Linked DNA regions of Anolis sagrei. The protein of the gene in region 1 purifies or fractionates together with the protein of each later gene. This does not show direct contact. Links are inferred from orthologs where the notes say so. Each region holds a gene or a part of one and is shown in the gene's direction. Other genes may lie near its edges.

Region 1 (7,076 bases):
TCTGTGGAATTCCCTCCCTAAGCACATCAGGATGGCCACCTCCCTCCTGTCCTTTAGAAGACAATTGAAGACTTGGCTTTGGGACCAGGCGTTCGTCCAGTGGATAGCGACAATTGGAAGGAAAGTTAGGACATATGCGACTGGATTTACCCAACTTGGTCTTGGTTTTAACTGGCATCTTAGCTTTTTGTTTAATGAACTTGGTAATGTACCTGTATAACATGTTTTAATGATTTTTTACTGTTTTCATTGTAACCCTTGTTGCTTATATGTTGACAGCATCACACGATGCTTATGTGATGTGGGGGCAGTTTTAAATATATATATATTGATTTTTCCTTTTTGGTACAAAAGTCAACAGAAAAGTATATATTGGGTTGTTGTAGGTATTTTCAGGCTATATGGCCATGTTCTAGAGGCATTCTCTCCTGACGTTTTGCCTGCATCTATGGCAAGCATCCTCAGCGGTAGTGAGGTATATATTGATATATATATTGTATAAAATATATATTGATTTTTCCCTGTTTGAACTGCCTGTATATGTCAGATCTGCTGACCAGCACAAGGTCACAGGAGATATGACCCGAACACGCTGACTTTCCAGATGATTAAGATGTTTTCCTATGCATTAATAATTAATTAATGTCAACAAGTTATATAAGCAATTGTATATAAATATGTGCTCTGTTTAAATCAAGGTGTGTGGAAACCCCTTGTTTCAGCTGCGGGCTGAGGTTTCCCACCCTTTTCCATGGAAAAGTAAAAAGTTTTGAACTTGGAACTCTGCTCTAGCCTGGTGTCATTCTTCCACCCCATTTGCATCCCAACAGACAGGCTGCTGTCTGCTGCAACAATGAGGCTGCCCTGAGTCCCCCTTTGGGAGGAGAAGGGCAGGGTAGAAATGTATGTAATAATAATAATAATTTTTATCAATATTGTTTTTAATTTGTTATTATGGTTTCTCTTGTGATTTGTATTATTGTTGAATGTGCTGTATTGTCTATTAGTTTTTTTAATTTATTGTAGTATTTATTTTTATTTTACTGACATAAAAACACAGTATGTCACAGCAAACGAGATATATATGCTGGATTTCGTATCACAAAATCACAAGTCGAGCACTTCCAAAGCGTCTAGAACTGTGTGGTGTATTTTCGAATGATGCACGCAGATCCAAGTAAGGTGGCATTTTGCAGTTGATAGATCATGATTTTGTCAATGTTTATTGTTTCCAAATGCAGGCTGAGATCTTTTGGCACAGCACCCAGTGTGCCAATTACCACTGGGACCACCTGTACTGGTTTATGCCAGAGCCTTTGCAATTCGATTTTGAGATCCTGATGACAGCTGAGTTTTCTCCTGTTGTTTTTTTGTGAATTCAGGTATCACCTGGAATGGCGACATCAATAAACTTTTTTTTATTTTCCACAATCGTGATGTCTGGTGTATTGTGTTCCAGCACTTTGTCAGTCTGGATTCAAAAGTCCCATAGTATTTTTGCGTGTTCATTTTCCACTACCTTTGCAGGTTTACGATCCACCAATTCAGGCATGTAGCCCCCCCCCCCCCCCCAAATTCTCATGGTGGTTCGCGAAAAGGCCTTACTGGTGCAGTATTTAAACTGTTATGTTTATTAATATCATGATTTGATCACCATTCTCAATATATCCCATATGTATGGGGGTATTGGGGTAATGATACAAAAGGTTTGCTAGGCTAGACCCTCTTTCACTCAGACTCAGTCCCCCCCCCCCCGAAACTCAGCCCCCCCCCCCCGAAACCCCCCTGAAAAATTTTTAGCCCCCCCCCCCCCCCCCCGAAACGAAATCCTGGCTACGGGCCTGCACCAATTATTTACTGCTGGCAAGTGGTACTTGTGGCCTAAGTTCCAATGAATCATTTGGGCCACAGAGTTGTGCCTCTATTTGTAGTCTGTCTGTGCAATTTTCTTGCAGCAGCTCAGGATATGATCAATGGTTTCATCAGCTTCCGTGCACAGTCTGCATGTTGGTACATCAGCTGATTTTTCAATCCTGGTCTTAATTGCATTTGTTCTGATGGCTTGCTCCTGGGCTGCAAGAATCAGGACTTCTGTCTCCTTTTTCAGTGTTCCATTAGTGAGCTATAACCAGGTCTTCCCCGTGTGAATGTTTCCTTCAATTTTGTCAAGGAATTGCCCATGCAATACTTTGTTGTGCCGTCAGCTCTGGTTTAAGGGCAGTTTTCTTGTACTGATTATTTGTCTGCTGTGCTTTGAGAAGTACAAAGCAAGTATTATTATTATTATTATTATTATTATTATTATTTTATGGCAATGAATGTTTGCCTTTTATGCTGTGAGACGCCCTGAGTCCCAAAGGGGAGATAGAGTAGGATAGAATAAATTTTTACCTAGGTGCCTTCCACATATTATCTGCTTTGAACTCGATTATATGACACTGTGGACTCATATAACTGAGGGCTCTTCCACACAGCCATATAAATCACAATATCAAAGCAAAAAATCCCACAATATCTGCTTTGAACTGGGTTATCTGAGTCCACACTCAGATAATGTGGGATTTTCTGCCTTGATATTATGGGATATAGGGCTGCGTGGAAGGGCTCTTAGCGTACCATGGAAATTTAGCATAAATTTGACTCTCCTTAGTTCAATCAATCTCATAAATTTTTATTTGAGGGCCCTACCACACAGCTGAATAAAATCCCACATTATCTGCTTTGAAGTGGAATATATGGCAGCATGAATTCAGGGCCCTTCCACACAGCCCTATATCTCAGAATATTAAGACAGAAAATCCCACAATATCTGCTTTGAACTGGGTTCAGATAATGTGGGATTTTCTGCTTTGATATTCTGGGATATAGGGCTGTGTGGAAGGGCCCAAAGAAAATACATCTATATAAATAAAAATGTAATGTTTGTTTGTGGGATTAACAGAACTCAAAAACCACTGGGCAAATTGACACCAAATTTGGACACAAGACACCTCCCAGGCCAATGAGTGACCATCACTCATAAAAATTCTGGAAAACACAGCAGAAGGGACGTAAAAAGACAAAAAAATACATTAATAATAATAATAATAATTAGAAATCCAGCACTGAAAAGCTAGGCTACTGTTCCTGAGCTTGCGCAGAGGGTCATAGAAATATCATAATAATAACATAGAATAATATAATAATAAATATATAATATAAGTAATACAATAATAAAATAATAATAATAGAATAATAGAATCTAGAGGTCACGAAGAGTCGGAGACGACTGAACGAATGAACAACAGCAACAAATATAAATAAAGGAGCCCCTGGTGGCGCAGTGGGTTAAAGCACTGAGCTGCTGAGCTTGTTGACCGAAAGGTTGCAGGTTCGATTCCGCGGAGCGGTGTGAGCTTCCGCTGTCAGCCCTAGCTTGTGCCAACCTAGCTGTTCGAAAACATGCAAATGTGAGTAGATCAATAGGTACCGCTCCAGCGGGAAGGTAACGGCGCTCCATGCAGTCATGCCGGCCACATGACCTTGGAGGTGTCTACGGACAACGCTGGCTCTTCGGCTTAGAAATGGAGATGAGCACCACACCCCAGAGTCAGACATGACTGGACTTAATGTCAGGGGACTACCTTTACCTTTACCTATATAAATAAAAGTGTAATGTTAGTTTGTGGGATGAACACAACTCAAAAACCACTGGACGAATTGAGACCAAATTTGGACACAAAACACCTCTCAGGTTTCACCCATAAAAACACTGGAAAACACAGCAGATGAGACTTTAAAAACACACATATATACACATGTACAGAAATATACACACACCACACATATACACAGACTGGGCCACAGTAACGCCACAGCAACGCGTGGCAGGAGATGGCTAGTTTTTAATAATTGAGAAAAGGACCCAAAGAAACCCGGAAACAGACGCTCTAACTGTGGGTGGATTGTCTTTCATTAAAAATCTATGGGGCGAAGGAAAAGGGGTGGGCGATCACATCCGGTCCCAGAATGCCGCGGGCGAGTGGCGAGTGTCAGGGCGGGAGGGAGAAGAGGGAGGGGGGTGTCGGAAGTTGGCTAGCGCATGCGCCGTGCGCCTCGGCGGGTAGAGGGGTTGCAAGGACTCTTTTGTTTGGCGGAGGCGGATCGAGCGCGAACCGCCGCTCGCTCTCTTGGCCTCTCTCTTTTGCCGTCCGTTCCTGAAGTCCGAGGGGTTTCCGCTCCGCGCGCGCTCTCGGCTCGGCCTGCAGCCGCTTCGTGGTGGTGGCGGCGCCGACTGGGGTGGTCGTTTGGAAGCCGCTCGCCGCGCGCTTCCTTGGTGGGGCTTCCTCAGGTAAAGAGGCCGAGTGAGGAGAGATGGGGAGGGGGCGTCTGAGGCACCTCAGGCCTGGGCGGCCATATTGGGGGTGGGCCCAAGGGGGGAGGAAGGGGCGCGAAAACGCGGGAAGGAGAAACACTCGAGCCCCCTGCGTGGGTTCCTGAGGCAGCTTTTCTGGGGCGGGGAAAGGAGCCATATAGCGACCCTTTTCTCAGAGAGGAGACAGTAAAGAGTGGTGGGAAATATGTTCACGAAACGGATGAGAAGTATGCTGGGTTTCCAGCCCTGTGTGAACTGTTTTTGTTTGTGCTTCTTTGTATTGTGTTTGAGTGAATGTGTGATGGTGGGGAGCTCAACAATAGAAGCTGCACGGGAAAGACATCTGAGGGGAAGAAATATGCTTGCAAGTGATGCCCGTGTGAAGAGAAAGTGGCGTGTGTGTGGTTTTGTGTAGGAAAAGGCGTTTTTATCAGGCTGAATATTCCTTGCCTGAAGTGTTTGGCGTTTTGGAGTACTTGCCAAAGTCCCAAAGGAGTTTCGGTGTGTCATAACTTCTTTAACTTTTGTTGTTTTTCATTTACAATACAGTAGCATCATATATAGTAGAGCAGGCATGGGCAAACTTCGGCCCTCTTTGCCCGTGGCGAGAAAAAGCAGGTAGAAATAAACAGCAATAATAATAATAAATGCAGGCCACCCCCAAGTTACAAACAAGATATGTTCTATAAGTTTATTCTCAAGTTGAATTGTGGCAGCCATTAGGAGAAAATATAATTATAATTATAAAAATGCATTTAAGATGAACAGAAAAAAGCCTTACCTTAAATGCTGACGAGAGATTTCTACAGCAAGGGAAATTCAATAGAACAATAAAAGATCGGAGTGGCTTGTTCCATAAATAATTGGAAAAGTAAATGTTGACTTTAGATTAAACATAGCAGGCTAGAGGCCTCGTGAGTTAGGATAAATATATAAATCATTAAGAGATCAAAGAAGTTAAGTACCAATGGAACATGTCATCTGGAAATAATAAGTAGAAGTTAACAATTATATGAAGTGAGCGAATGTTTGTCATCTTGACCTTGCCAAGGGAATGACCAGGGTGGGACAAATAATTCTTGTCTGCTGGAGCTAGGTGTGAATGTTTCAACTGACCACCTTGATTAGCATTTGATGGCCTGGCAATGCCTGGGGCAATCTTTTGTTGAGAGGTAATTAGATGTCCTTGTTTGTTTCCTCTCTGTTGTGCTGTTGTAATTTTAGAGTTTTTTAATACTGGTAGCCATATTTTGTTTATTTTCATGGTTTCCTCCTTTCTGTTGAAATTATCCACATGCTTGTGGATTTCAATGGCTTCTCTGTGTAGTCTGACATGGTAGTTGTTACCCTAGCAATTCCACAGATATATCAACTCTTTTTCCTAGTTCCAACAGACCTTACTACCTCTGAGGATGCTTGCCATAGATGCAGGCAAAACGTCAGGAGAGAATGCCTCTAGAACATGGCCATATAGCCTGAAAAATCCTACAACAACCCTGTGTGGTGTTTTGCTTTCTGTGCCCTTGTTCGCCTCACTTCCTGTCTCTGGTCATTGGGTTTTGAAAAATTTGGCTTGTTGTGGATAAAAGGATTGGTGAGAAAGGTTCAGGGAAGACACCTTTCCACCATAACTCTTCCAGGAATGAATTTCCCATCATAGAGATAGATTTCTCTCACTTCCTCGTTCTTAACTAGGAGTCGTTTGTAAGTTGGATGTTTGTAATTCATGGTCTGCCTGTATAGAGGACATTACATTACACATAAAGTCTTCTCAAAAAGTTACTAAAACATCAAACACCTTTGTGATTTTTGGCCCACCTTTTACATTGAGTTGTATCTTGAAGATGGGGCCCAAATGTGCTCAGAGGCTGAAGATGATTTTATATTATTTTAAAACAAAACAAAGTTTTATTGTATTGAATCACCAGAAAGCAAAGATTTCACTATCTCAGCTAGCCATGTGGACAACTTTAGATTCTAGTGTACAGTATTTTAGAATTCCAGATAAGGGATGAACTACGTTGATATTGTTACAAGGGGGTGGATGCACATGTGTTTATGTATAGTATGTGGGCAGTTTTTAAATTTTAATGTATTCTGGAATTTAGGGGTGCTCATTAAATATAGTGGAGAATTGTTACCAGGAGGCAGGTTTACATGTAAGTCAATCTGAATAAGATTTATAGAAATTGAAGGAAAAAAGCAGAGGATATGCATTCTTTTGATGTTAAATGCAATTTTCCAAGCCCAGAGCCCAAGTGATTTACTAACATTTTGATAGTTTTGATCTTTACTCATATACAGCAATGTGCTGACACTTAAAATTCATTTTAAAATGGATTTGGTACCTTTTGGAAACAAACTCCACATATATAAAATGTAGCAAGTTTTCTTTTTCTAAATTGTATAAAATACAAAGATTATGGATTGTGTCCCCTAATACATATTTGGAGAGGGATGTTGGCAGAGTATTGCACCTAATATTTGATAGAGGACATTGTTTCGAAGTTAAGGAATGGGATGATGAACGTGCTGTAATGTTTTTAAGAGTGAGGCTACGATTATGTTTTAAAGTGTGCAATAGAGTCCCTGTGTACAATGTTTTTCTTAAGGTAGAATGAAATAAGAGCATTAGGAGAGATGAGCTTGTTGTATGGATGTTGCTCCAGTACAGAGCTAATAAAAGTGAAGTGCCATGATAGTGTGAGGTGGTTCTCCCACA
Region 2 (7,022 bases), about 18 Mb from region 1:
TCTGGCAGCTCTCGCTCCATGTATTGCTGGAGTCTTCCTTGCAGGATCTTGAGCATTACTTTACTGGCATGAGAAATAAGGGCCACTGTACGGAAGTTTGAGCACTGTATGGAAGTTTGTACGGAACTTGGCCTAGGCCTACCTTATCATAAGGCATGTCCTTTAGGCCTTTCCTGATCTGGCAGGATATCTTAACAAGGCCCTGAAATGACCATCATTGTGTAAAAGGTTCTTCACAGGTAATGGGTCCTGAATCATTTCTCCCTCTTTTAAGCCAGTTCTTTTCAGCCACAAAGGACAATAGTTTCCACACTTGGCAGAAGTTTCTTTCATTTTTCTCCTTTCTTTCTTCTTATTCCCTTTGTCATCAAGAGGCTTTCCACTGTGAATGAGCAAAAATCAATCAATCTATCTATTAGGTTCTTGTGGGTTTTTCGGGCTATAGGGCCATGTTCTAGAGGCATTTCTCCTGACGTTTCGCCTGCATCTATGGCAAGCATCCTCAGAGGTAGTGAGGTCTGTTGGAATTAGGACAATGGGTTTTTATATCTGTGGAATGGCTGGGGTGGGGCAAAGAGCTCTTCCTTGCTGGAGCTAGGTGTGAATGTTTCAACTGACCACCTTCATTAGCATTTGAAGGCCTGGCTGAGCCTGGGAAAATCCCCTGTTGAACCAAACTGTGAACCTGAGTCCCATCATCGTCGTCAGAAACATCCTCTGATTCCAGCTGTGTAACAACACACATGGACAAAAAAATCTCTCATAAAATGACATTATGTGAGACAATGCAACTAATCACATGATTGTAAATACGTTCTGAATTATGAAGAATAAACTACTTGTTATTTACTGATCCTCTGTGTGACATATTTTCTTTCTCTGGCAAAACAGTGTGTGGACTGATCAAACGTGAACTACAAGGTTTATTTTCCATTATGCCACATTGAGCCCCGGTGGCACAATGGGTTAAATCCTTGTGCTGGCAGGACTGCTGCCCGAAAGGTCGTCAGTTTGGATCTGGGGAGAGCTCCCATCTGTCAGCTCCAGCTTCTCATGTGGGGACATGAGAGAATCCTCTCACAGGATGGTAAAACATCTGGGTGTCCTCTGGGCAAGGCCTTTGCAGACGGTCAATTCTCTCACACCAGAAGCAACTTGCAGTTTCTCAAATCACTCTGAAACCAAAAAATGGCCATGTAGGAATTAACAAGTCCAAGGAAAGCATACAGGTGGGCTCAGGAGCTGGGGAAGAGCCCCCTTTGAATTGTTTTCTATTCATTTTTCAAGGAAAATACTAGGCTGGGGTTTAGGATCTTTGAAGTATTTCCTGTGGAGCCCTTTCCTGAGGCAATTCCCTTTTCCCCCAAAGGAATATGTTAATGTTTCTGGTGTGTGCAGTCAGTCAACCTTCTGTGACAGGGTCAATGAAAATAGGGTAAAGTGCGGAATACTGCCTGCTTGGTATTGCAAAGTTGTAAAAAAATTTTAACAAAAATTCATGTTTAATCATACTGAGGTCGCGTTGGTAGGTCTGATTTCTCGACAACATAGGTAAGGATGAGGGAGCGGTTGAGAGGGTATCTACACCGTGGAATTCGTGCAGTTTGACACCACTTTAAAATGCCATGTGGCTATCGAATCATGTGATTTGTGGTTTCATGAAGCACCACACTTTAACGAAGTCATAAAAACTACAGCTCTCATTATTCCATTACACTGAGCCCTAGCAGTTAAAGTGGTGTCAAACAGCATCAATTCTACAGTGTAGATGTACCAAGGACCTAGAAAATGTCAAGATTGGTTGAATAATGTAATGCAATATAATACTACTTATAATAATAATATATCATAATATATTATTATTATTATTAATATTAATAAACCTTTATTTATACTCCGCTACCATCTCCCGGAGGGCTCGGTGCGGCTTACAAGAGGCCGAGCCCGAATACAAATAAGTAAAAACATCACAGCAAGTAATATTACATGTAATATTACTAATAATTAGTAATATTACATGTAATATTACTAATAATACTACAATATGGTATAGTACAATATAGTAATACTAATATTGTACTATATTAATCTATACAAATAAAAATGCAATGTTCATTTGTGGGATTAACATAACTCAAAAACCACTGGACAAATTTACACCAAATTTGGACACAATACACATATCAGGCTAATGAGTGACCATCACTCATAAAAACAGAAAAGAAGGGACTTTAAAAGCCAAAAAACAAAAAGTACGTTACAACTCATGAGCAAAACCACACACACACACACACACACACATATACACGCAAACACACATATACACAAATATATGCACACATATATATATACACACAAAACACAGACTGGGCCACAACAACGTGTGGCAGGTATTATTGTTATTATTATTATTAACTTTATTTGTACCCCACTAGCATCTCCCGAAGGACTCGATGCGGCTTACAAAGGTCAAGGCCTCAATAAAACAATAACATAACAATACAGCATTATAAAGCAAATCAAAACATTAAGCAATAACAGTAAACAATAGAAACAGTACACCGTGACACAATAAAACTAGGGTCTGGTTGAATAATGGGTACAGATTAAAAGTGCTGAGTATGACAGGTGGAATATAGGATTTTAGGGTAAGTGCAATGTGCAGACAATCTTAATTCTCTGATAAAGTGCTTCTGGGACATATTGTGCTTCTGGGACAGTTTCCTATTCTGGAAAGGCACACCGGAACAGCCAGGTCTTCAAACTGGTAGTTTGTGGGACTAACATAACTCAAAAACCACTGGACAAATTGACACCAAATTTGGACACAATATACATATCAGGCTAACGAGTGACCATCACTCATAAAAACACAGCAGAAAAGACTTAAAATGCCAAAAAAACAAAAAATACATTACAACGCATGGGCAAAAACATAATATATGTTTATATATCTTGTAAGCCGCTCTGAGTCCCCTTTATTTATTTACATTTCGTAAATAAATAAATAAATTTCAGTTTTTTCCTCCATTTCGTGTGAAAGATTCAATACAAGTCTACATTGGGGTCAAGTTTTAATTCTGAAAGCAATGAATGTCCAATACAGCAAGGAGAAAATTCCAATACAGCCAAAAGGCCTCTCTGAGAGCCCTTCCACACTGGCATATAATCCAGGTTATCAAAGCAGATAATCCACATTACCTGCTTTATTTATTATTTTATTTATTTACGGCATTTATATGCCGCCCTTCTCACCCCGAAGGGGACTCAGAGCGGCTTACAATATATATTTTCATACAATATATTATATTATTAGCATAGTACAATATCAGTATATATTACTATATTGCACTATACCATTATATTGTAATATTATATGTAATGTAAATATATAATTATAATATTGAACTATTATTACTAGTATTATATTGTATTACATTATAATATAATATGTATATACAATATACTATATTATATTATTAGTAAAGACAAGGTGGAACTGGATTATATGAGTCTACACTGCCAAATAATCCATTCTAAAGCAGTGTAAAGGGAGCCTAAAAGAAGGAATCAAAGCTGCATTGCCAGCCTTGCGTCCATCATAATTTAAAGCCTGCCCCTTTAAATACCCCACTTCTGGTCCTCGCTTCAAATGGCGGCCTCCTAAACGGCGCCACCAAAAAAATCTGCCCTCACTCAAAATGGCTGCCGCCCTCGACGCCTTCCTTGTTTTCCTCTCTCTTTCTCTCCCTCGCTCCGCTTTTATTTTCCCCCTTCAGTTTTGCCCTGAGCCAAAATGGCAGCTTTCCCAACGTCACCGGCGCCTTCGCCCTTAACAAAGAAGGCGGCCGCAAGACGCGACTCTTTTCCAACGCTACACAAGCCCGCGAGCCGCCTTTGCCCTTCACTGTGATGGCGGCGGTTTGGCCACGCTACCTCGAGGTAAATCCTGCACACTGATTGGCTGGGAGGGAAAACAAGCCGCGCTACCATTGGCTGGTATGGAACACGAAAGGGAAAAGGGTAGCGTCGAGGTGTGAGTAAGAGAAGGGCAAGGAGGGAGGAGGAAGAGGGAGTTAGTTGGTGAGTTGGAGGGAGGGAAGGAAGGAAGGAAGGAAGGAGGAAAGAGGAGGAGGGGGGCTGTTTTTCAAACTGAGTTTAACTGATTCGAGAAAGGAGCCCAAGGAAGTGGGCAAAGAAGGTGAGATTTCATGGAATTGATATGAAATTGGGGTTTTGTTTTGGGGTTTTTTGGGGGGGGGAAGAGATGGAGAAGATGGCAGAGGGAGTCTTGGAAGTGGGACTTGAGGCCACAAATTGGAAGAGAGCATGGAGATCCTGAGGCACCAGAAGTTACTTGAAGGGAAAGTTACTTGGTTTTTAGCTCTTGAACCAGGTTCAGGGCATCCTTATGGGGTTCACTTCCAAAAGGAGTTAACTTTGAAAGTTTTTTTATTGTATTATATTTTTATATTTATTATATATTTTTAATTTTTTATATTTATATTTATTATATATTTTTAATTTTTATATTTATTATATTTATTATATATTTTTAATTTTTATATTTATATTTATTAATATTCATTATATATTTATATTATATATATATATATATATATATATATATATATATATATATATTTAAAGTGGTGGTAGAGGCATGGGCCAACTTGGCCCCCCCCCCAGGTGTTTTGGACTCCCAACTCCCACCAGGGACAGGGCCTTCTCGGTGGTGGCCCCTCGACTCTGGAACTCACTCCCCAAGGACATCAGGCATGCCCCAACGTTGGCAGTCTTTAGAAGGAGCTTGAAAACATGGTTGTTCCAGTGTGCCATCCCAATTATACTTATTAATATTCATTATATATTTATATTTATTATATATATATTTAAAGTGGTGGTAGACGCATGGGCCAACTTGGGCCCCCCAGATGTTTTGGACTCCAACTCCCACCAGGGACAGGGCCTTCTTGGTGGTGGCCCCTCAACTCTGGAACTCACTCCCCAAGGACATCAGGCATGCCCCAACGTTGGCAGTCTTTAGAAGGAGCTTGAAAACGTGGCTGTTCCAGTGTGCCTTTCCAGAATAAGGAAACTCCAAGCAATATGTCCCAAATGAGAGAGGAGATATGATAGCCAGGTATAAATATGTGAGAGGAAGGCACAAGGAGGAGGGAGCAAGCTTGTTTTCTGCTTCCCTGGAGACTAGGACGGCGGAACAATGGCTTCAAACTACAAGAGAGGAGATTCCATCTGAACATGAGGAAGAACTTCCTGACTGTGAGAACCGTTCAGCAGTGGAACTCTCTGCCCCGGAGTGTGGTGGAGGCTTCTTCTTTGGAAGCTTTTAAACAGAGGCTGGATGGCCATCTGTCAGGGGTGATTTGAATGCAACATTCCTGCTTCTTGGCAGGGGGTTGGACTGGATGGCCCATGGGGTCTCTTCCAACTCTTTGATTCTATGATTCTATGAAATGCACTTTACTAGAGATCTAGAATTGCCTGCAAGCCCCACCTATCCCTAAAATATCTATCTTATTTCACCTGATCATGCCCAGCACTTTTAAAGATTTTAAGTATTACATTTGGCCCTGCCACAGGTTATTGTTAATGTTTTTTGCTTTGTTTATGAGTTTTTATTATTATTATTCTATTGTTGTTGTTGTGTTTTACTGTTGTATTTGGGCTCAGCCTCTTGTAAGCCGCACCAAGTCCTTCGGGAGATGATAGCGGGGTATAAATAAAGGTTTATTATTATTATTATTATTATTATTTCCTTTCCCCCCTCATCTTAAGCTCTTCTTACAATGCCTTTAGGTTAGGTATGGGCCAACTTGGGTCCTCCAGGTGTTTTGGACTCCAACTCCCACCATTCCTAACAGCCTCAGGCCCTTTCCTTTCCCCCCTCAGCTGCTTAAGTGGCTGAGGGGGAAAAGGAAGGGGCCTGAGGCTGTTAGGAATGGTGGGAGTTGGAGTCCAAAACACCTGGAGGGCCAAAGTTGGCCCATGCCTGTGGTCGTGTTTAGTTGTGGCTTTTAGGGTTTCTCTCAATAGAATAATTACACTTTGGCACTGCTTTAACTGCCACGGTTCAGTACCATGCAGTTCTGGGATTTGTAGTTCGGCGAGGCCCCAGTGAAGAAGGAGAAAGTCCTTGGAAAATCACAACCATTGACCCTTGCCAAAGTAGGGTCAAACTGTAGTTATTCTACATTGTTAGACTGACCTAGAGAGATGTTTATGTGAGAGATGTTTATGTTATTTATATTAATTGTTTTGTATTGATTTTTTGTTATTGCTTCTGTTTACTGATGTACTGTGGGCTTGGGCACATGTAAGCCGCACAGAGTCCCTTGGGGAGATGGTAGCGGGGTATAAATAAAGTATTATTATTATTATTATTATTATTATTATTATGTTGACAAGCTGGAATGTGTCCAGAAGAAGGCGACTAAAATGATCAAAGGTCTGGAGAACAAGCCCAATGAGGAGCGGCTTAAAGAGCTGGGCATGTTTAGCCTGAAGAAAAGAAAGCTGAGAGGAGACACAATGAGGGCCATGTATAAATATGTGAGGGGAAGTCATAGGGAGGGGGGAAGCAAGCTTGCTTTCTGCTGCCCTGGAGACTAGGATGTGGCACAATGGCTTCAAACTACACGAAAGGAGATTCTCCCTGACCTTTAGGAAAAACTTCATAACTGCAAGAGAGAGCACTGTTCGGCAATAGAACTCTCTGCCCCCAAAGTGTGGTGGAGGCTTCTTCTTTGGAGTATTTTAAACAGAGACTAGATGGCCATCTGTCGGGGGTGCTTTGAATGCGATTTTCCTGCTTCTTGGCAGAATGGGGTTGGACTGCATGGCTCATGAGGTCTCTTCCACCTCATTGATTCTATGATTCTATGTGATTATTAACTTCACTTGTCTACTTTAATTAGAACTAACTGTTGGGATTCTGGCCTCTGTCTAACCCAGGCATGGGCCACATTCCCCGAGGCAGTGTTTCTCAAACTGTGCTCCTC
Region 3 (7,949 bases), on another chromosome or scaffold:
AAATACTGGCTGGCTTTCTGGTTCTGGCCAATCAGGAGAATGGGAGGAAATTTAGAACAGTAGCAATGTTAATGCATGGAAACTCTTATGTATAAAGATGCCTGCTTTTTCCTTGTGCTTTACGCATGTACCCTTTGAACACCCGCTGTTGTACAAGTATCCCTTCTGCAGATTGAATAAAACTTCACTCTGGTGACATCCTGATTTCTGTCATGGAATATTAACAGTTAGAGGTGCTCAGTATCCATAGGTTCTTGGAAAACCTCAAGCTTTCAGCATCAGTGTCAAACTGCATTGTAGATACATCCATAGATGACAAGTCACCAGTAAAAACATTTAATGCAGAGGCTGTTCTGTGTTAAAAATATATTCTAGCAATCAGATTTAGCCCGGAAAAAGAGAAAAATGCAAGCTGATATGAAAGCAATTTACAAATATTTGAGGGACTGTGACATGTTTGAATGTGAAGGAATTATCCTTTGTACAGTATTGTGCTGCTCCTGAGATGAGGAGCCAAACCACTGGTTTCAAATTATAGGTAAGGAGATTCCAGATAAGAAGTTTGTAATAATACAGCTGTGAGACATTGGGCTCCCTTGGAAAGTGGTAAATTCTCCTTCGTTGAAAGTCTTTAAACAAGAGCCCGGTGGTTGCATGTCAATGTGATGCTTTCACTGTAGATTCCAGTGCTAGCAAGGCGATGGAGACAACTCTTGCGGCAACTTACTGTTGCAATCCAGAGCAGGGAACGAGGCCCTAAGATATCCACCACACTTGGCTGTGAAAAACAATCCTTTTTTATTGAAGAAAAATGGTTACAAAATAAAGGAAAAATGCAAGTCAAAAGCCACAGTAAAATCAGCAAACATGAATTTAAATGGACAAAGCAAAACCAAAAGCCTCACTGGGAAAATACTGGAATCTGTTAGCAATCCACTAACCGTACTTGATATCCTAGAAATCTTCCCAAACTATGACCAGGGAACCGGGAGAACTGCCAAGGTCTTCATCAATTCTGAAACGATGCCTGAACTGAGGCAATTAGCCTGGCGTATGGCAATTAAAACTCAAGAATTGGTTCCGTGAACCGCCCTTCTGTTTTGAAGCCAATGTTTTTAATTCTTGAATTCGGGAGGATCGACGCAAACTGAGTGTTTTACTTCTGTCTCCCCAAATTTGGCCCCTTCTGTTGTCATTACAGTTAACAGGTGCAGAAGGGAGGGAAAGTTCAAGGTCTCCCTCTGAAACATTCTCAGGAACACTGGTACTTTCATTTTCCAAACCTACAGCAGTTTCTTCCTCACTAATTTCAGGAGCATTGGCATCAAAAGGTACATTTCCACTAGCATCAGTAAATATACTTTCATTAGCATCAGGAGGAACAAACAGAGAATTAGGTTCAAGTTCAAACTCAGGCTGAACCCCAACACTTACAACTTTCATATTCTATATTTTTGTGTGAAGCTAATCTGGGAGAAGTCAGTAAATTTCAAAATTGTCTAACGAGATAATGGGGAAGTTGAACGGTATTGCTTCATAAGCCGTTGTGGTTGCAATTTTGTGTGTTCTCACTGAATTTAGACTTCTGAAAAAACAGCCATAGCATTTGGATGTAGATCATTAAGTAATTCTGGTGGCATAGTTCTGAGTCTTGGAGCCTTGTTTGTCTGCAAGAGCCTCCCTTGCTAGTGGTTGCTGAAAGAACATGTTTGGTTTACATAAATTATTCCTTACACAACACAGCATTCTCAGGCACTTCCTTCTTCTACTACTTTTTGGTTGAATGTAATAAATCAGTTAAGAACCTAGTCCCTGAGCTACAAAGAACCTAGCCCCTGAGGTAGGCGAATATGTTATTTTCAAAGGACTTCAACAATAATCCTGGCCAGTTCGAGGGCTTAAACTATTGCTGACCGATCAGACAAATATTCGTCATTTTAATCCTATAATTTTTTCTCTCCATTCATTGTTTCCCGCTTGACCCGCCTCCTCTCTTCCCATTGGCTGAGAGGCCAGAGCGACGCTGGCTCTCTGATTGGGCAAGGCGCAGCTGAGCTGGCCATGCCTCCCAGCCAGCGGAGGACTCCAACCAATCAGCGAAAAGCCAGCTAGGGGAGCGGGAGCAAGAACTTTGAACTTGACAGCTCTGTATTTCCTATAAAAACTGTGTTATTTTGCCTTGTGGCTCATGTCAGCTTCTGAGCAAAAGATTGCGGTTTGATATCTGTTCCAGCTGGAATGAAATAAACATCTCAGTGGCTTCTTCTTCAACTTAGTGAGATTTGGAAAAATAGGGAAAAATTTCTTTTGGGTGCTCTTGTCTCGCCAGGTGTCCAGATCCTCTTTGGTGGGTCTGGCTGGTCCTTGCCTCAGCAGGACCCCTTAAATTCAGGTTCGACATCACATGGAGGCACTCTGCCCAGGAGTTGTAAGGCAGCGGGGCCGAAGAGGTGTTGCTATGGCCCCACGCAGGTGTTACTATGGCCAGCAGTGGGCAGAATCCAAGAAGAGCATGGATGAGCTCTCTCTGTCAGCTCCAGCTCCCCATGCGGAGACATGAGAGAAGCCTCCCACAAGGATGGTAAAACATCAAAACATCTGGCCGTCCTCTGGGCAACGTCTCTGCTGACAGCCAATTCTTTCACATCAGAAGAGACTTGCAGTTTCTCAAGTCGCTTCTGACACTAAATAACAAGTGGATTACTTCAGGATGACTTTCTGAGCTGAAACTCGCTGCACTGAATGTCTTTGCTGAGGCACAGAATAAAGGTAAAGGTTTTCCCCTGACATTAAGTCCAGTCGAGTCCAACTCTGGGGGTTGGTGCTCATCTCCATTTCTAAGCCGAAGAGCCGGCGCTGTCCGTAGACACCTCCAAGATCATGTGGTCGGCATGACTACATGGAGCGCCATTACCTTTCTGCTGGAGCGGTACCTATTGATCTACTCGCATTTGCATGTTTTCGAACTGCTAGGTTGGCAGAAGCTGGGTCTGACAGCGGAAGCTCACACCGCTCCCCGAATTCGAACCTGCGACCTTTCGGTCAACAAGATCAGCAGCTCAGTGCTTTAACTCACTGCACCATCGGGGGGGGGGGTTCCTATATATATATATATATATATATAAATGGAGCCACATGACCTTGGATGTGTCTATATATATATGGAGCCCCTGGTGGCGCAGTGGATTAAAGCACTGAGCTGCTGAGCTTGTTGACCGAAAGGTCACAGGAACAACTGCTGTCAGACCCAACTTCTGCCAACTTAGCAATTCAAAAACATGGAAATGCGAGTAGATCAATAGGTACTGCTCCAGCAGAAAGGTAACAGCGCTCCAGGCAGTCATGCTGGCCACATGACCTTGGAGTTGTCTATGGACAACGCTGGCTCTTTGGCTTAGAAATTGAGATGAGCACCACATCCCAGAGTCAGACATGACTGGACTTCATATCAAGGGACAACCTTTACCATATATATATATATATATATATATATATATATATATATATATCTGAAAAACCACTGGATGAATTGACACCAAACTTGGACACAATGAAAAACACAGCAGAAGGGACTTTAAAAGCCAAACAAAAAACAAAACAAAAAACCAAAACGCAATATCACACATATATACACAAATATATATAGACACAAAATACATCTACACAGACCAAGCCACAGCAACGCGTGGCAGGGGACAGCTAGTGTGTGTGTGTGTGTGTGTGTGTGTGTATATATATATATATATATATATATGCACTGTCCTGGAGCGCCTGTTCCAGTGGCTCCAATTTTGTGTTTTGCACTGAGTTCATAGTCCTAAGTTGCAGGGACTTTGTATATAGGTGGCTTCCTTTGGCTGCATTCATAGGGCAAGCCACCTGTCAATTATAGTTAGGATCCCTGGTCCCGCCCCTCTCTGGGTTTTTTGGAGGGAAGGGGCCATCTTTCAGTTAGTCTCAGCAAAGGAAGTCAATGCAGAGGATGTATACAGACGTCCTCCTGTGCAAAGGCTTAGTCTGGGGGAGAACAGTCTTGAGAGCCTCTAAAGATTCCCAAAGGTTCCGGGGAAACAGCCTTACAGCCCTGAGGAATTCCGGAGGGAATTACAGCTCTAACCATCAAAGCAGCTAAGTCAGTGGTTCTCAACCTGTGGGTCCCCAGGTGTTTTGGCCTACAACTCCCAGGAATCCCAGCCAGTTTACCAGCTGTTAGGATTTCTGGGAGTTGAAGTCCAAAACATCTGGGGACCCCAGGTTGAGAACCACTGAGCTAAGTGATTACAGGCCTGTTGGTACGTCTACTTGGTTCTGAGACGCAGTTCAGCCGGTAGTGGATTCAAATCAGTTAGGTTTAGGTTCACAGCAGCCTGGGAGGAGCTAGAAAGGGGAATTTTCCTTTGAACAAGGTTTTTGAAGATAGTGCCTGTTCCCTGTGAACAAGATTGCAAGAGCTAAGAGACTGTTTAGAAAACTTTACAATTCTTGTTTGTTCATCAATAAAAGACTGTTATATTTAAGCTCAAGCCTCATAAAGACTGTTTAATAAGGGAAATTTCTCTAAAGGCTTCTTTTCGGGGGCCCTGGCTTCCCACTGGATCCAAGCCATACATCCTCTCTTAAAGGCACTTCATTTCAGGTCCAGTTGCGACAGAACACACACACACACTCACACATACATACACACCAACACTTTATATATTAAATGTTTGCGCGTGTAAAAACTGAAAAGAAAAAGAGCTCTCAGGGACTCCCAATTCCCCTTCACGCCCAGTGGCAGGAAGGTGCTGCCCAGCAATATAAATCTAGTTAGGGACGAGAAGGACGAGAAACGCTCCTTGACTTCCTATTGGGCGGGCGGCGGGGCTGAGGCTGAAGGGCAGCCAATCAGACAGCGCCACTGCTCCCGCCTCCCTCTCTGGCCCCGCCCCCAACTCGCCTCTCTTCCTCCAGTGGGATGAAAAGTTTCTGGCGGCCTCAGTGACTGGAAGGGGAGGGGGGAAAAAAAGAGGCGCAAGATGGCGGAAAATTTAAAAGGTGAGTGGAAACCGCCGCCGCCGCGCGCGCGCGCCGGGCCGGGCTAGCTTTGCGCGAGACCCCTCGTTTGGGAACCTGGGGTTCGGCGGGTGGAAGCCGAGAGCCAATGAGCGCTGCGGTCTGAGAGCGGCGCGAGGCGGAGGTTCGGCGGCGACCGTTACGGGGCGGGGAGCGCGCGAGGGAGGGAGTGAGGCGGCGCAGGACGTGGCAGAGAGCGGGAAAAAGGAAAGGCGGAAAGCGGATAGGGATAGGGAACCCTGAGGAGAGGGCAAGGGGAACGGGCAACCTTTGAGCGGGGCCACCTTGGCTGCGTTTCCCGCTCAGAGGATCCAATGTTGTTCCAAGTTCCTCACAGAGGCAGTTCATGTGCCTCCCTGTTCGACTCTATGCCTCTCCTCAGCAGACACGACGCTCCTGGAGACCCTTTTTGTGCCCTCTTCACATTTCCGCCCTCCTCATCTTTCCCCCTCTGGCGTGCTTTCCACCATGTGCGTCTATCCCTTAGGGTACTTCCACACAGCCCTATACTCCAGAATATCCAGGCAGAAAATCCCACAATATCTGCATTGAACTGGGTTATCTGAGTCCACACTGCCATATATTCCAGTTCAACGCAGATAATGTGGGATTTTCTGCCATGGATATAGGGCTGTGTGGAAGGGCCCTTACTCTGTATTGTCGAAGGCTTTCGTGGCTGGAATTACTGGGTTGTTGTAGGTCTTTCGGGCTATATGACCATGTTCTAGAAGCATTCTCTCCTGACGTTTCGCCTGAATCTATGGCAAGCATCCTCAGAGGTTTTGAGGATTCTTGCCATAGATGCAAGAGAAATGTCAGGAGAGAATGCTTCTAGAACATGGTTATATAGCCCGAAAAACCTACAACAACCCCTTACTATCCTCAGAGAGTAGGAGAACTCGTGGAACTCTTCAGGACAACCTTCTGACGTGAAACTCGCCTCACAATGATTTTGCTGAGGTACATAATAATAATAACAACAACTTTATTTATACCCCGCCACCATCTCCCCGAAGGGACTCGGCGTGGCTTACATGAGGCCAAGCCTGTCAAATACAAATACAACAATACATCGACAAACAAGCAAGCAAATAAAACAATATAAATAATACAGTTGAACATATAAGCAAAGCAATAACATGCAAAAGATTTAATGGCAGGGCCAGATGTAGATTAAAAGTTTAAAACCATGGGCGTGTACAGAGTAGGGTATGTCTAGGCATGGGGTTTTTAAAGTGTGATATGGGGGGATCAATCCAATGGATAAAGTGCTTCAGGGGACATATAGAAGGAAATTGGTCAGATAGGGCATTATTTCCTTTAATCAGGGAAGCCATGTTTTCAAGCTCCTCCTAAAGATAGCCAAAGTGGGGGCTTGCCTGATATCTTTAGGTAGAGAGTTCCAGAGTCGGGGCGGGGGGGGGGGGGGGGACACAAAATTTTGTTTGACCCACTCTTCTACGTCCAAGGGCCCTTCTACATATCTGTATAAAATCCCACATCTGTTTGGACTGGGTTATATGTCTGTTTGGACTCAGGGCCCTTCCACACAGCCATATAACCCAGAATATCAAGGCTGAAAATCTGCTTTGAACTGGATTATCTGAGCCCACACTGCCATATATTCCAGTTCAAAGCAGATAATGTGAAATTTTATTCAGCTGTGTGGAAGGGGCACAAGTCTGCAACAATAATAGCATATAAAACTTTGAAGGAGGGAAGATTGCTCCTGTTTCCAGGTTTGCAATCTAAAAACATTTTTAGCATTATAATTATTTCCCGGGATTCAGCAACAGGAGTGGAATAGAACTACTACATCACACTAGAGAATGAATCCACTTTGAATCTGTTTTCTGCCTCCAGCAGAATTCTGGGGTTTGTAGTTTAGGGAGGAAACTTTAACAGCCTCACTAAACTACAAACCCAAGAATTCTGCAGGAGGCAGAAACTGGATTTAAAGTGGATTCATTCACTAGTGTGATGAGGCCCCTAGTAGACATTGCCATTGACCAGTTCTTTGTTTGAGCCAATTGACCATGGTGGATCTTCCATCATTTATTAATGCTGACCATAGACAACCACACTGGTGGATCTTGAAGAACCACCAGAAATCTTGATTCCTCTTTCAAAGAGTAAAGAAGGGAATTGGCATCACCGGCAGTCCCCAATTTACAAACCACTCATAGTTAAGAATGGGGCTGAGACAACATGAAGTGACAGAAATCAACCCCCAAGGCCCTTCCACACAGGCATATAACTCAAAATATCAAGGCAGAAAATCCCACAATATCTGCTTTGACCTGTATTATCTGAGTCCACACTGCCATATATTCCAGTTCAAAGCAGATAATGTAGGATTTTATTCAGCTGTGTGGAAGGGGCCTCAGAAGGGAAACTGCATCCCGAAAGAGTTATCATGAGGACAAAGGTGTCTCAACTGAAGCTTCCTCACCAATCCTTGTAACCACAACAAGACACATTCTTCAAAAATTAATTACTTGCATATAATATTTTAAAGTCACCATGATCACAAATATCTGGAGTGGATAATGTTGTGGTGATGCCAAATCACAATGATACCTAACCTTTCACCCAGATCGTATTTAGTGCTGATCTTCAGCCGAGTGTTTTCAACTTTATTGGCTTGAAAAGAATGAAGATTTTGCAGGTGAAAGGCAAACTGTTTGAAACAAATTTCCTAAAGGCTTTGCTAGGTTTTCCAGCTGTGGTACACATAATTTCATTATATATATATTTTATTTTTGTGTCAGGAGTGACTTGAGAAACTGCAAGTCACTTCTTGTGTGAGATAATTGGCCATCCTTAAGGATGTTGCCCAGGGGACGCCGGGATGTTTGATGTTTTACCATCCTTGTGAGAGGCTTCTCCCATGTCCC
Region 4 (6,860 bases), on another chromosome or scaffold:
TGTATAAGATGTTAGTTCTGACCTTTAAAATTCTTTACGGCCAGGGTCCATCGTACCTTAGGGACCGCCTCTCCTTCTCCCATCATCGGAGGTCGCAACAACCAGCCCAACGCGACTTACTCTATATACCGGGTCCTAGAGAAGTGCACTTGGAAAGGATCAGATGCAGGGCTTTTTCTATTTCTGCCCCTGCCTTATGGAATTCCTTGCCACCCCACATGAGAGCCATGCGTGACTTAGGGCCTTTTACTCATGCACTTAAGACCTGGCTTTTTACTAGAGCATTTGATCCCTTTTAATTTTTGTATGTATGTATTTTATCTTTTACAATTTAGCTGTAAATCTTCTAGAGCATTCTCGGATGGAGGGCAATTAATAAGTAATTGGATGATGATGATGATGATGATGTGGTTCTGGAGAAGGATTCTGCAGATACTGTGGACAATAAAAAAGAGAAATGAATGGATCCTTGAGCAAATGAGGTTGGGACTTTCCCTAGATGAAACGATGAATAAACTAAGGCTGTCATACTTTAGACATGCTAAGAGAAGACATGACTTATGCGATAAGACAATGATGCTTGGTAAGATAGAAGGCAATAGGAAAAGAGAAAGCCTGCATTCCAAATAAATTGATTCAATCAAGGAAGTCACGGCTCTGAGTCTGCAAGACCTGAGCAGGGCTGTTGGAAGGTAGAGTGACTTTGGTCCTCTCTGCCCAGCTGCATAAAATCCAGATTATCTGCTTTGAATTGGATCGTATGGCAGTATAGACTCAGATAATTCAGTTCAAAGCAGAAAGATTACATCATTTGATACTCTGGATTACATGTCAGTGTAGAAAGGCCCTCAGACTTCTCTCATTCATAAGGTCCCTAGAGGTTGAAGTTGACTTGACAGCAGTTAATAAAAACGTAACTTGTTGCTTTTCCGTTGCTTAAAACATATTAATCATAGGATTGAAAAGAAAATGGCATCAGACCTGAGAAATTAAACTACAATGATTCTAACATTCCATTTAAATATAATTGGAAAATGTTACACATCACACCCTCTAGCTAAAAAACAATTACCATAATTTGTTATGTTGATCTGAAATGTGAGTTCATTATACCCTTGGTATATTTGTGAAGTAATTTATTTATATAGGTGACAATTATGCTTTTAACCTCTTCATTTCCAGCTTTTAATCACTGGCAATGAATGCTAGAAGTGCAGGAGAATCCATAGGCTCTCTATAAGGAAAGATGGTTAACAAAGAATAGTCTTGATTTGAACCTTTTGTAATGCTCTTGATGCTTGTTCCTTTCATCAAGGCTCTCAGAATCAACCCCAGATGTTTGTTCCTTATTAAAGCTGCCCTCTTCTCAATGGCAGCAACAATCAGACATAATGTTACTCAGCTTTCCATATCCATGGGTTTGGCATCTATGGACTCAACCAAACACAACTCAAGACATGTAGAAGAACATGCCAAAAACCTTGAAGACTACAGTGATATGTAGGCATTCCATGCTGTAGCGTCTTGACATTTCACAGATCCTCAGCCTCTCTTCAGCACTCATTAGAATTGTTCTCCATTTGATATGAAGGGGAAATTACTTACTTTGCCATTGTATGTTATGGCCATTTTATGGACTTTTGGTATCCAGGGAGGGTCTTGGAACTAACCTGCTAGTGAATACCAAGTGCTCACGGTACCTTGTATCATGGTCAGATCTTGCATTTCCTCAATAACAAGTGCATGAACGATACTAATGGAAAACAACATGAGAAAGGACACGTGTACTGCTCTAACTCAGGCATGGGCAAACTTCAGCCCTACAGGTGTTTTGGACTTCAACTTCCACAATTCCTAACAGCTTACCAGTTGTTAGGAATTGCGGGAGTTGAAGTCCAAAACACTTGGAGGGCCGAAGTATTCCCATGCCCTACTCTAACTAAACAGTCCATGTCTCCATGTTCCAAACTGCACACAGCATCTATTAACACATCTACTAATCATGATGTCACTTGATGGTTTATTTCTTGCTATTGTGACAATTGTTCTCAACCTGTGGGCCCCAGGTGCTTTGGCCTACAACTCCCAGAACTCCCAGTCAGTTTACTAGCTGTTAGGATTTCTGGGAGTTGAAGGCCAAAACATCTGGGGACCCACAGGTTGAGAACCACTGTGCTAGTACATCATGAGACACTGGGAAGACAAGAATTTTGAAAGCTAATACGATACAGTAATTTGAAAGTTGGAGTAGTACCCACAGAAGCATAGAGTTGGAAGAAAGTACAAGGGCTATCCAGTTCAAGCCTGTGCCATGCAGGAACAGGCCATCAAAGCACTCAAGGCAAATGACCATCCAGCTTCTGTTTAAACATCTTCAGAGAAGGGGACTCCATTAAAATCTTCCATTGCCAAGCAAACTCCCAAGAAACTAGGGTTCAGGAATGGACAACTAGGTGACCTTGAGGGATTCGTATTCTCTCAGAAATTTAATAGCAAATCTCCCTTGAATTAGTCTTGCCAAGAAACTCTTCAAAGAGCGCCACAATTAAGTCAAAGTCAACTTGAAGGAACATCACAATGGCCTCTCCATTTTGATATTTGCTTTGGGACCAGAAACGACACTGGCGGTTATATCCAAATTGAGTTGATATATATTTTAAAGAAAACATTTAGATTTTGGATTGTTCTTTAGGAACATCAGTTTCCTACTTAGGTCCTGCTTTCCTCTAGCTCAGTGGTTCTCAACCTGGGGTCCCCAGATATTTTTGGCCTACAACTCCCAGAAATCCCAGCCAGTTTGCCAGCTGTTAGGATTTCTGGGAGTTGAAGGCCAAAAACATCTGGGGACCCACAGGTTGAGAACCGCTGCCTGGCTAGATGTATAAGTTTGGTTCCGTGTCACACCACTGTGGGACAAATGGAGTAGGAACCCACACGAGCCCCTGCTCCCCCCTGGAGGAACCCAATTTGAAAGCGCTTCCGAATGATTTGAAGACCTCAAATGATAGGAACCAACCATTTCACTTTCTTTTTTTACTCTTTGAAGACAAACTTGACCTTCTAGAGATGGAAAGAATGGTTGACCCAAAGAAGAGCCTTCCAGGTTTGATGCCAACTTTGCAACAGCCTTTCTTAGATGACTTGAGGGCTCCTTCTTCCAATGGCAGACTCCATTTGGATGGGTCCCATTGGTTGTTGGAGGTAAAGGGGGGTTTCAAGAAGCCTGCTGATGATGCAAACAAGGCACCCTCAACCTTATATGCAAACCAGCCAGAGAGATGCATGGCCACATGACTGCATCACATGGGATGATGCAAGCAAGGCCCCACCCCTCTGCAGTGACGTCACAACCCAAAATCACGTGGAAGTTGCCACTTTGGCTTGGTGGGAGAGGTGCCCATGCCCCAGGGGAGGACAGGTGAGTGGCCCAGGTGAGGGTGAGTGGAGGGGAGGCCCCCCAGGCTCAGCTAGAGCGCTCCCCAGCGGCTGCATTGGGAACCTCAGCCACCCTGAAGAGTTAGTGCTGATGGAGGGAACCAATGGGAGCCCTGGACCGAGCCTCTCCTCATTGGTGGACTGGCTGAGATGCAAATGAGGCGGGACGTCACTTCCTGGGACAAATCGAGCGCCATTTTCTCTTTCTCACTGGAAGGAAGGAAGGAGGGAGGAGCAGGGAGCAGGGCTTGTGCGGTCGGCTTTCGCGGGGCGAGAGCAAGGGCCAGCGCTGCAGGGACGGGCAGGGATGCTCGGGGCTTTGAGGCCTGAGCGCCGGGCCTGCAGGGTGCAGAGGTGGAGTCGGGCCGGCCTCTGAGCGAGGAGGAGGAAGACAGGAGGAGGAAGAGGAGGAGGAGGAGGAGGAAGAAGACAAGGCGGCAGCTGCAGCAGCAGCAACCAGGCGCGCGCGTCCCTGAGGGCGGCGCCAGAGAAGAGCGCGGGAGAGTGCGCGCGCCCCCTGCGGCCGGGGCAGGTAAGTGCAAGTCCCCAATCTGAAGCCACCAGGCGCTACAGCCGAGCCAGGGAAGGAGGGCAGGAGGGAAGGTGAGAGCGCGCGCCCCTCGCCCTTTCTCCCCGCGCGCTGCTTCTGGGCGGAGTCCAGCCTCGCGGGCGCCTCCTCCCATCTTTTTTCCCTTTGCTTTCTCTTTGGAGAGCGCGCCAAGCGCGGGAAGGCAGCTAGCTGGGTCCAAGCCAGGCATGGACTAACTTCAGCCCCTCCTCTCTCCAGGTGTTTTGGACTACAACTCCCACAATTCCTAACCCCCCTTAGGCGTGAGGCTGTTAGGAATTGTGGGGGTAGAAGTCCAGAGTGGGCTGAAGTTTGCCCAGGTCTGGTCTAAGCCCTAATTTTCCTCACTCATTTCAGAATTTCTCCAAAGCCTCCGACACTAGGGCGGGAGAAGCCGCACAATGGGGCGGGGAAAAAATGGAATGCTAAAATTGGGACTTTTGGAACAGGTTCAGGTTGGAAAATGGTTGTGGATACTCCTCCCATGGAAACTTTTAAACACAAACTGGATGGCCATCTGTCAGGGATACTTTGATTGTGCTTTTCCTGCATGGCAGAATGAGGTTGGACTAGATGGCCCATGTGGTCACTTCCAACACTTATTCTATGGTTGAGTTACTCAAAGCTCAAGGTGCTGAGGGGGAAAAGTAAAGGGGCCAATTCTGTTAGGAATAGTGGGAGTTGAAGTCCCAAACACCCCAAGGGCCGAAGTTTGCCCATTCCTGGGCTAACGTCATAAAAGGCAAGTATTCAAAGCCAACAAATAAATACATGCATACTTAATAAAATATGTAAAAGGCACCACAGCAATTCAATTGTTTAAAAATCATTAATGCAACAATTAATGATATCTATATAAATAAAAATGTAATGCTAGGTTCTTGTGGGTTTTTTCGGGCTATAGGGCCATGTTCTAGAGGCATTTCTCCTGACGTTTCGCCTGCAACTATGGCAAGCATCCTCAGAGGTAGTGAGGTAGTGCCATAGTTGCAGGCGAAACGTCAGGAGAAATGCCTCTAGAACATGGCCCTATAGCCCGAAAAAACCCACAAGAACCTAGTGATTCCAGCCATGAAAGCCTTCGACAATACAATGTAATGCTAGTTTGTAGGATTAACATAACTCAAAAACCACTGGACGAATTGACACCAAATTTGGACACAATACACCTATCAGGCCAATGAGTGACCATCGCTCATAAAAACACTGAAAAACACAACAGAAGGGACTTAAAAAGCCAAAAAAAAAATACATTACAACTCATGTGCAAAACCACATATATATACGCAAAGACACATATACACAAATATATGCACACATATATACACACACAAAACACATATATACAGACTGGACCACAACAACGTGTGGCAGGGGATGGCAAGTTAATAATAATAAAAACATGAGAGGAGCCTCCCACAAGGATGGTAAAACATCAAACATCCAGGGCAACGTCCTTGCAGATGGCTAATTCTCTCACACCAGAAGTGACTTGCAGTTTCTCAACATGAAAAATATGCAACAATGAAACTACAAAGAGTTTGCTTTGGCAAGACATCTTGCAGCGCATTTTGCGATGGTTTTTCAATGACTATCACATCAAGCCTCAACCAATTCAACATGTTTTGTGGCAGCCACAAACACCAGGTTTCTGGAGCGTAACAACAACTTTCAAAGTGAGTACCACACAATCAAATAGGATGTAACACTTTCAAAACAGGAACAGAATTATTTTTCAAATTTTGTTACATAGTGTTAGAATTCAGTATTATAAAAACAGCTTAGGACACTCGGACACTTTAAATGCTGGCATGTATTTTATGGCAGTTATGACATTTTTAATGTAATGTCTCTTAACTTGCTTTTAGGGTGTACTCAATGTTTGCTTAAGTTTTAGTTTTTGTATTTTAATGGATTGTCCCTTTTTTATTATATTTTGATCCTTTTTTATTTTATTTTGATGCTTAAGTCTTTCGTTGTAAGTTTACTATACATTATCCTGTGTTATTTTGATGTGTTTGTATCCATTTTGAAGCATTGAATGTTTGTCTTTTTATAGGTAAACCGCCCTGAGTCCCTCAGGGGAGAGAGGGCGGTCTAGAAATTAAGTTTATTATTATTTGTATATTTCGTTCAACTGCGAATCTATCATAATGGGACTGTTAAACCTGTGTTCACATGTGGCAGGTTTTCTCTGCGTTTCCATGGCATCATCTACAAATGGGAAAACTCCGCAGGAATTGATGCCCTTAATCGTTGAATTTAATCTATATAAATAAAAATGTAATGTTCGTTTGTGGGATTAACATAACTCAAAAACCACTGGACGAATTGACACAAAATTTGGACACAATACACCTATTAGGCCAACAAGTGACCATCACTCATAAAAACACTGAAAAACGCAACAGAATGGACTTAAAAATCCAAAAAGGCAAAAAGACACTATAACGCACAAACAAAACACACAAGAGCATATCCACACACTCTTTCAGATTACAACTCCCAGCATCCCCTAGACCAGGCCCTTTAGGAGAGGAGGGTGATCCAAATGCACTGCTTCCAAGATGCAAGCTTTCTCCTCCTTGGATTTCTCTGGACTGCATCCCAATCCCTACATATTTCCAATTTCCTATTCCTGGACTGCATTTCCCAGCAATCCTCCAGATAAGATAGATAGATTAGATAGAGATAAATAGGTAGGTAGGTAGATTGATCAGGAGGACTGTTGGGAATTGCAGTCTAAGAATAGGTAGAAAAGGAAGAAAGGGGAGAAAAAGGAAGGGAAAGACAAGGGGAGGAAGGAAAGGAAGAGGAAGAGAAGGAAGGAAGGAAAGGGGAAGGTAAGGAAGGAGGA

The links.
Region 2: the proteins of CBX1 (region 1) and PRR14 purify together in Homo sapiens (affinity purification with mass spectrometry; 3 studies listed by BioGRID and IntAct, counting the BioPlex papers as one, with this or other methods). This does not show direct contact. The link is inferred for Anolis sagrei from reciprocal best matches to the Homo sapiens genes CBX1 and PRR14.
Region 3: the proteins of CBX1 (region 1) and SUV39H1 purify together in Homo sapiens (affinity purification with mass spectrometry; 3 studies listed by BioGRID and IntAct, with this or other methods). This does not show direct contact. The link is inferred for Anolis sagrei from reciprocal best matches to the Homo sapiens genes CBX1 and SUV39H1.
Region 4: the proteins of CBX1 (region 1) and ADNP2 purify together in Homo sapiens (affinity purification with mass spectrometry; 5 studies listed by BioGRID and IntAct, with this or other methods). This does not show direct contact. The link is inferred for Anolis sagrei from reciprocal best matches to the Homo sapiens genes CBX1 and ADNP2.

The regions. Positions count from the first base shown.
Region 1 is NC_090026.1:33,852,210-33,859,285, forward strand, and holds the start of CBX1 (chromobox protein homolog 1), read left to right. Parts: upstream 1-4,062; 5' UTR 4,063-4,330; intron 4,331-7,076. UniProt on the Homo sapiens protein: Component of heterochromatin. Recognizes and binds histone H3 tails methylated at 'Lys-9', leading to epigenetic repression. Interaction with lamin B receptor (LBR) can contribute to the association of the heterochromatin with the inner nuclear membrane.
Region 2 is NC_090026.1:16,092,815-16,099,836, reverse strand, and holds the start of PRR14 (proline-rich protein 14), read left to right. Parts: upstream 1-4,006; 5' UTR 4,007-4,201; intron 4,202-7,022. UniProt on the Homo sapiens protein: Functions in tethering peripheral heterochromatin to the nuclear lamina during interphase, possibly through the interaction with heterochromatin protein CBX5/HP1 alpha. Might play a role in reattaching heterochromatin to the nuclear lamina at mitotic exit.
Region 3 is NC_090022.1:194,074,790-194,082,738, forward strand, and holds the start of SUV39H1 (histone-lysine N-methyltransferase SUV39H1), read left to right. Parts: upstream 1-4,928; 5' UTR 4,929-5,015; coding exon 5,016-5,034; intron 5,035-7,949. UniProt on the Homo sapiens protein: Histone methyltransferase that specifically trimethylates 'Lys-9' of histone H3 using monomethylated H3 'Lys-9' as substrate. Also weakly methylates histone H1 (in vitro).
Region 4 is NC_090024.1:76,607,756-76,614,615, forward strand, and holds the start of ADNP2 (activity-dependent neuroprotector homeobox protein 2), read left to right. Parts: upstream 1-3,838; 5' UTR 3,839-3,967; intron 3,968-6,860. UniProt on the Homo sapiens protein: May be involved in transcriptional regulation. May play a role in neuronal function; perhaps involved in protection of brain tissues from oxidative stress. May be involved in erythroid differentiation.